Macaca fascicularis: one gene and its partner. Each later gene encodes a partner of the first gene's protein in a complex. Links are inferred from orthologs where the notes say so. Each region holds a gene or a part of one and is shown on either strand. Other genes may lie near its edges.

Region 1 (3,805 bases):
CAGGTTCAAATGATTCTGCTGCCTCAGCCTCCCGAGTAGCTAGGATTACAGGCACGCACCACCATGCCTGGCTAATTTTGTATTTTTAATAGAGACAGGGTTTCATCATGCTGGTCAGGCTGGTCTAAAACTCCTGACATCAGGTGATTTGCCTGCCTCTGCCTCCTGAAGTGCTGAGACTACAAGTATGAACCACAGCGCCCAGCCGACAAATACTATTGTTATCTTGTTATCTCCATTCTACCGAGAAGGAGACGAAGGCTGTGATCATTTAAATAAGTTGCCTAAGGTGATGCAGTAATATAAGTGGCAGAGCTAGGAATTGAGCCTTGGTAACTTTAACTCTGGACCCCAAGTCCTTAGCTACTAAGCTTTACTGCATGGGGTTTAGTCAAATTAAGACTTTTGGAATATGAGTTACTTTTGAGGTTAGCTTTGTGATTTTTTTTTTGGTGCTCATTTGTCCAACAAAGTCTATTTTATTTTCATCTTAATTAGGTTTTTGTATGAATATGCAAGAAGGCATCCTGATTACTCTGTCATGCTGCTGCTGAGACTTGCCAAGGCATACGAAGCCACTCTAGAGAAGTGCTGTGCCGCTGCAGATCCTCATGAATGCTATGCCAAAGTGGTAGGTTTATTGTTGGAAAAAAATGTTATTCTTTGACTGATGATTCCAATAATGAGAAAGAAAAATAATGCAAGAATGTAAAAAGATATACAGTGCAATTTAGATCTTTTCTTGAGATGGTTTCAATTCTGCAATCTTAAACATGATAGAAAAAGTAGCCTTAGAATGATTAACAAAATTTAGACTAGTCTAGAATAGAAAGATCTGAGTAGAGCAATCTCTGTGAAATTTTGATCTTTTTTTCTCTTTTTCACAATCCTGAGAACAAAATAACTTAAAGTAAATTTAACTGTTAATTAGAAGATACTTAACTTAGATGTAAAGTGAGTTAACCTGATCCCAGGACTAATCAAGTACTAGAATTAGTATCTTCAGGCAAATTATAGAACCTGTTCCTTTAGAAGATTTTCAAATCTTTTTGAGAATGTTTAGGAGTAGTTCTACAGGAAATTAAGTTAGGAGAGGAAATCTGTTCTGGAGGACTTTTAGGGTTCCCACTAGCATATGTAATGGTTTCCAAACTATTCAGAATCAGATAAAACTCATTTTTTCCTCTGTCAAGAAGCTACTAGATGCCAGGCACCATGCACGACCAATGACCAAGGTAAAATCTCTCATTTTGGAGAGCCCAGAATCTAACTAGAAAGGTGAACTAATAATAATAATATGTATAATCATAGCCATAACTTATTAAACTTTTATTACACGCAAGGCACTGTTTAATTTCATTAGCTTAACTGGTTTACAGAGCAGCTCTATGAGATGAGTACCATCTTTGCCCTTTTTTAGGGATAAGGATTCTGAAATGTGGAGATGGTAAGTAAAATTGCACAATTGAAGAATGAGTTAGATGACTTGGCTCAAATACTGGTCATTGAACTTCAGAGCCTGAATATTCTTAGCCACTTACATGATGCAAGCTCACCAAATAAATCGTTTGAATGTAATGTGACAGCGTGGCATTGATAGTCATCTGTTTGTGTGGCTTTGAGTAGAAAGGAGAAAGGATATCATTCTGACCAGAGGGGTGAAAAACAACCTGCATCTGATCCTCAGGCATAATACTATCAACACAATTCTTCTATGTTTCAGTTTGATGAATTTCAACCTCTTGTGGAAGAGCCTCAGAATTTAGTCAAACAAAATTGTGAACTTTTTGAGCAGCTTGGAGAATACAAATTCCAGAATGCGTAAGTAATTTTTATTGATTGATTTTTGATCAATTCGTAATTATTTAAGACTTAATATATGAGCCACCTAGCATAAAACTTGTAAGAATGAGAATACATTACATATTTCTAATCACTCTTTGTCAAGAAAGATAGGAGAGGAGAGATAAAATAGTTGATGGGGTGGAGAGGCCTATATTTGAATGTAGTCTAAAAATTGTTCTCTTAAGACTGGAAGTATGTAGACTGGGAGGGTAAATACGAAATCTTGGTATATCGAACTGAGGATGTCCCTTGAAGGTTAAGAAATAGTTAATGGGCAAATAGAACATGGCAATATTTTGTAGAGCAGGAAGTAGTAGAGCAGGAAGTAGTAGGCCTTGAATAGCAGTCGCTCAAAAAGTAATATGTGAGCTGAACACAAAATGTAACAAATGAATTTAGATTCATGTTTGAATATTAAATTCAGGTTGTTTGGGGGATGCACCTAGTGTCTGATGGTTAAACCTTGTGTTTCTGTGGAATTTCCCTCCATGGAAGAGACAGAGACAGAATGGCTTGTGGACTAATGTCCCAATTCAATAGAACTTTATCTATGAAGGTTAAAAACAAGAAGAGATATGTTATACAGTAGATATTTATTGTGTGGCTCATACACATAGTGCTCTTCTGATTATTGGTTTTAGGGATAATAACCGTGAACAAGACATAGTTTCTTTCCTCAAGTAGATTACATAGATTGACTTTTAATGGTGACTGGCATTCTTAATACATGATTATTATATATTAGGTACCATGTCAGATTAATTATAATACTTTACTACTTTTAATTTAACCCTTGAACTATCCCTATTGAGTCAGATATATTTCCTTCCATTTTCTACTTGTATCTTTCAAGTTTAGCACATGCTGATATATATGAAGCTCTCTCCAGGTTTTATTGAAAGAAGAAATTAATAAATTTATTAATGTCACTGAAGTAGGTAACTCACTTTCCTAAGATTATACAAGTAGTACAGGTGGAACTCAAAGCCAGGTTTGACTAGTTGTTCAGGAGAAAGTTTTCTCCCCTCCACTAACCCACTACTCTGCAGATGGAGATAATATGATGAATGGAATATAGGAACATCTTAGTTGATTCCGGCCAAGTGTTCTCTGTTTTATCTACTATGCTAGACAGTTTCTTGCCTTGCTGAAAACACATGGACTTCTTTTTTTCAGGCTATTAGTTCGTTACACCAAGAAAGTACCCCAAGTGTCAACTCCAACTCTTGTAGAGGTCTCAAGAAACCTAGGAAAAGTGGGTGCCAAATGTTGTAAACTTCCTGAAGCAAAAAGAATGCCCTGTGCAGAAGACTATGTGAGTCTTTAAAAAATATAATAAATTAATAATGAAAAAATTTTACCTTTAGATATTGATAATGCTAGCTTTCATAAGCAGAAGGGAGTAATGTGTGTGTGCATATTTGTGTGCGTGTGTGCATGTATGCATGTGTATTTGTGATATTGGCAGCCAGGGTCCCAAAGATTATATATATATATTTTTAATATTATATATATTTCATATATTTATTATATATAAATATATATTATATATTTATTATATATAATATATATTATATATTTATTATATATAATATATATTATATATTTATTATATATAATATATATTATATATTAATTATATATTACCAATACATTATATATTTATATATTAATTAGTTATTAATAATATATAATATTGCATACTATATTATTTTAAATATAATTAATATTATATATTAATATATTATTAATATTATATATTAAGTATATAATTAATTATATATTAATATGTTAATGCAATGCAGTATTATATAAACTAATTAATAATATGTATTAATAATATATTAATAATATACAATATATAAATAATATATTATATATAATAAATATGCATATTTATTATATATAAATACATATATGTATATATATTTTGAGATGGAGTCTGGCTCTGTTGCCCAGG
Region 2 (4,272 bases), on another chromosome or scaffold:
CGCAAAGAGACTCAGAAAGTAAAAATAAAAGTGAGAACTCCCACTAATTAGTGAAAATGCTCAAAGCGGGGGATAAGGAAGGAGACCACTACTACTCCTGCTGCCCTCCTCCCCCCATCTTGCCTAGTTCACAAGACAGGAGGAAAGAGAGAAAGAAACAAAAGTAAGATAAATAGCCAGACAACTTTGGCACCACCACCCGGCCCTAGGAGTTAAAAAAAAAAAAGTAATAATAATAACATCAACCCCTGGCCTAAACTACTTGTGTTATCTGTAAATCCTAGACACTGTATGAAAAAAAAAAAAGCACTGTAAAACTTTTTGTTCTGTTAGCTGATGCACGTAGCCCCCAGTCACGTTTCCCACACTTGCTCGATTTATCACGACCCTTTCACGTGGACCCCTTAAAGTAGTAAGCCTTTAAAAAGGCCAAGTATTTCTTTTTCGGGGAGCTTGGCTCTTAAGACGCGAGTCTGCTGACGCTCCCAGCTGTATAAAAAACCTCTTCCTTCTTTAATCCGGTGTCTGAGGAGTTTTGTCTGTGGCTCTTCCTGCTACACAACCTCCACCTCCTGGGTTCAAGCAATTCTCCTGATTCAGCCTCCAGAGCAGCTGGGACTACAGGTGCTCCACCACACCCAGTTAATTTTTTTTTTTTTTTTGAGAGGGAGTCTCGCTCCCAGGCTGGAGTGCGGTGGTGGCACGATCTCCGCTCACTGCAAGCTCCACCGCCTGAGTTCACCCCATTCTTCTGCTTCAGCCTCCTGAGTAGCTGGGACTACAGGCGCCCGCCACCACGACGGGCTAATTTTTTGTATTTTTAGTAGAGATGGGGTTTCACGGTGTTAGCCAGGATGGTGTCGATCATCCTGACCTCGTGATCCGCCCGCCTTGGCCTCCCAAAGTGCTGGGATTACAGGCGTTAGCCACCGCGCTCGGTCTAATATTTGTATTATTAGTAGAGACGGGGGTGTCACCGTGTTAGCCAGTCTGGTCTTGAACTCCTGACCTCGTGATCCGCCTGCCTCTGCCTCCCAGCGTCCTGGGATTACAGGCGTGACTCACTGCGCCCGGCCAGCAGAAGGATATTAAAGAGCACCTGCAGGACCTTTCTAACGGGATGTCGGGGGAAGGGCTTGAAGGAGGAACTAGGGAGGCTTCCATAAGATTTTGATTAACAGCCAGCGCTAGGGAAGGTCACAGGGATACAAAAGGGTAGGAGGAGGATCCAGAGACCTCCAAGTTGTGGACTTCGAAGGCATCCGGTTCCTTTCCCAGCTTTGTCAAGAATTCCCTGGGCGGCGGACACCCTCAAAATAAAAAAAACGGGAACCACAGAGAAGGGGAAAAAGAAGAACCACAAGCGTTTTGAGAAACAAACAGAGGCTGGGCCTAGGGCCTGGGGTGTGCCCTGCAACTGGGGGGGGTGGGGCTGGATGTTCTTGGAGTCAGGGAGCAGCAGCCTCCCACAGGATGTGAGAGAGGAACTGGGGTCTCCAGTCACGGGAGCCAGGAGCCGGCCAGGGCCGCAGGCAGGAAGGGAGCGAGGCTGAAGGGAACGTGAGCCGACCAGGCCCCGATTGAGGGAGGAGGGAAGGGCCTGGACCCCTGGGCCTGAGGGAGGAGGGGCTGGGGGTCTGGACAGTGCGTCTGAGGGAGGAGGGGCTGGGGGTGTCGACACTGGTTCTGAGGGAGGAGGGGCTGGGGGCCTGGACGCCTGGGACGGAGGGAGGAGGCACTGGGGGTCTGGACACTGGGTCCGAGGGAGGAGGGGTTGGGGGCCCGGACTCCTCGGTCGGAGGGTGGAGGGGCTGGTGGCCCGGACTCCTCGGTCGGAGGGTGGAGGGGCTGGTGGCCCGGACTCCTCGGTCGGAGGGTGGAGGGGCTGGTGGCCCGGACTCCTCGGTCGGAGGGTGGAGGGGCTGGTGGCCCGGACTCCTGGGTCCGAGGGAGGAGGGGTTGGGGGCCCGGACTCCTCGGTCGGAGGGTGGAGGGGTTGGGGGCCCGGACTCCTCGGTCCGAGGGAGGAGGGGTTGGGGGCCCGGACTCCTGGGTCCGAGGGAGGAGGAGTTGGGGGCCCGGACTCCTCGGTCGGAGGGAGGAGGAGTTGGGGGCCCGGACTCCTCGGTCGGAGGGTGGAGGGGTTGGGGGCCCGGACTCCTCGGTCGGAGGGTGGAGGGGTTGGGGGCCCGGACTCCTCGGTCGGAGGGTGGAGGGGTTGGGGGCCCGGACTCCTGGGTCCGAGGGAGGAGGGGCTGGGGCCTGAGGGACGGAAGGGGCGTGGCCGAGCTCGGGGCCGGGACTCTCAGCCTATCAAGTTTCTGTAATTAATTAACTAACTGAGATCCAGTTCAGGGGTGAAAGTTCTTCAGGTAGGAGGAGGGCATTGTTGTCAGTCTGGACCGAGCCCGCAGAGCCCCTCCTCGGCGTCCTGGTCCCGGCCCTGCCCTTGGTACCCCGGGAGGAAGGGGCGGGCCGGGGGTCGGGAGGAGTCACGTGCCCCCTCCCGCCCCAGGTCGTCCTCTCAGCATGAGGGTCCCGCGGCCTCAGCCCTGGGCGCTGGGGCTCCTGCTCTTTCTCCTGCCCGGGAGCCTGGGCGCAGGTGAGGGCCGCTGCGGGCCGGGGCCCTGCTGCAGGCGGGCGGTGGGAGGCGGCCCCAGGCAGGCAGGGGCGAAGCCAGCGGGACCCGAGTTCCCCGCGAGTCCCGGGCGCTGCCTTCTCCGCTCAGTTCACTTTCTCAGCGTCTCCTGCTGGGCCTGAGGCTGAGAACCACCTGTCGCTTCTGTGTCTCTGTTTCCCTCTCTCTCTCTGGGCCTCTGTCTGGGTCTCTGTCCCTTTCTCTCTCTCCCTCTCTGGGTCTCTGTTTCTCTCCCTGGGTCTCTGTCCCTGTCTTTCTGTCTCTCTGGGTCTCTGGGTCTCTGTCTCTGGGTCTCTGTCCCTCTCTCTCTCTCTGGGTCTCTGTCCTTCTCTCTCTCTCTCTCTGGGTCTCTCTCTCTCTCTCTCTCTCTCTCTGGGTCTCTCTCTCTCTCTCTCTGGGTCTCTGTCTCTCTCTCTCTGGGTCTCTGTCTCTCTCTCTGGGTCTCTGTCTCTCTCTCTGGGTCTCTGTCTCTCTCTCTGGGTCTCTGTCTCCCTCTCTCTCTGGGTCTCTGTCTCTCTCTCTCTGGGTCTCTGTCTCTCTCTCTCTGGGTCTCTGTCTCTCTCTCTGGGTCTCTGTCTCTCTCTCTGGGTCTCTGTCTCCCTCTCTCTCTGGGTCTCTGTCTCCCTCTCTCTCTGGGTCTCTGTCTCCCTCTCTCTCTGGGTCTCTGTCTCTCTCTCTCTGGGTCTCTGTCTCTCTCTCTCTGGGTCTCTGTCTCTCTCTCTGGGTCTCTGTCTCCCTCTCTCTCTGGGTCTCTGTCCCTCTCTCTGGGTCTCTGTCCCTCTCTCTCTGGGTCTCTGTCTCTCTCTCTCTCTGGGTCTCTGTCTCCCTCTCTCTGGGTCTCTGTCTCCCTCTCTCTCTGGGTCTCTGTCCCTCTCTCTCTGGGTCTCTGTCTCCCTCTCTCTCTGGGTCTCTGTCTCTCTCTCTCTGGGTCTCTGTCTCTCTCTCTCTGGGTCTCTGTCTCTCTCTCTGGGTCTCTGTCTCCCTCTCTCTCTGGGTCTCTGTCTCCCTCTCTCTCTGGGTCTCTGTCTCTCTCTCTCTGGGTCTCTGTCTCTCTCTCTCTGGGTCTCTGTCTCTCTCTCTGGGTCTCTGTCTCTCTCTCTCTGGGTCTCTGTCTCTCTCTCTGGGTCTCTGTCTCTCTCTCTCTCTGGGTCTCTGTCTCTCTCTCTGGGTCTCTGTCTCCCTCTCTCTCTGGGTCTCTGTCTCCCTCTCTCTCTGGGTCTCTGTCTCCCTCTCTCTCTGGGTCTCTGTCTCTCTCTCTCTGGGTCTCTGTCTCTCTCTCTCTGGGTCTCTGTCTCTCTCTCTGGGTCTCTGTCTCTCTCTCTCTGGGTCTCTGTCTCTCTCTCTCTGGGTCTCTGTCTCTCTCTCTCTGGGTCTCTGTCTCTCTCTCTGGGTCTCTGTCTCTCTCTCTGGGTCTCTGTCTCTCTCTCTGGGTCTCTGTCTCCCTCTCTCTCTGGGTCTCTGTCCCTTTTTCTCTCTGGGTCTCTGTCCCCTCCCTCTGAATCTTCCCTCTCCATAATAGATTCTTCTCCCTCCCTGGATATCTGTCCCACTGCAATCTAGTTCCCCGCCCATGTTCTCCCTTCAGCTCTGTCTCTGTCTGCAGAAAGCCACCTCTCCCTCCTGTACCACCTCAC

What was found.
Region 2: the proteins of ALB (region 1) and FCGRT are in contact, whole or in part, in a crystal structure (PDB 6QIO), measured with the Homo sapiens proteins. The link is inferred for Macaca fascicularis from reciprocal best matches to the Homo sapiens genes ALB and FCGRT. Residues at the interface, in NP_000468.1 of Homo sapiens: Arg105, Glu106, Thr107, Tyr108, Gly109, Glu110, Asp113, Asn133, Asn135, Gln441, Ser443, Pro445, Thr446, Glu449, Leu484, Leu487, His488, Thr491, Pro492, Val493, Tyr521, Val522, Pro523, Lys524, Thr530, Phe531, Thr532, Phe533, His534, Asp536; in NP_001129491.1 of Homo sapiens: Arg65, Glu67, Glu69, Gly72, Ala73, Val75, Trp76, Gln79, Val80, Ser81, Trp82, Trp84, Glu85, Lys86, Thr89, Arg92, Asn172, Lys173, Leu175, Thr176, Leu179, Phe180, His184, Glu188, Arg192, Gly195, Asn196, Trp199, Lys200, Glu201.

The regions. Positions count from the first base shown.
Region 1 is NC_088379.1:60,560,736-60,564,540, reverse strand, and holds part of ALB (albumin), read left to right. Parts: intron 1-498; coding exon 499-631; intron 632-1,723; coding exon 1,724-1,821; intron 1,822-3,021; coding exon 3,022-3,160; intron 3,161-3,805. UniProt on the Homo sapiens protein: Binds water, Ca(2+), Na(+), K(+), fatty acids, hormones, bilirubin and drugs. Its main function is the regulation of the colloidal osmotic pressure of blood. Major zinc transporter in plasma, typically binds about 80% of all plasma zinc.
Region 2 is NC_088393.1:57,472,208-57,476,479, forward strand, and holds the start of FCGRT (IgG receptor FcRn large subunit p51), read left to right. Parts: upstream 1-1,470; 5' UTR 1,471-1,532; exon of another isoform or gene 1,533-1,560; intron 1,561-2,515; 5' UTR 2,516-2,529; coding exon 2,530-2,602; intron 2,603-4,223; coding exon 4,224-4,272. UniProt on the Homo sapiens protein: Cell surface receptor that transfers passive humoral immunity from the mother to the newborn. Binds to the Fc region of monomeric immunoglobulin gamma and mediates its selective uptake from milk.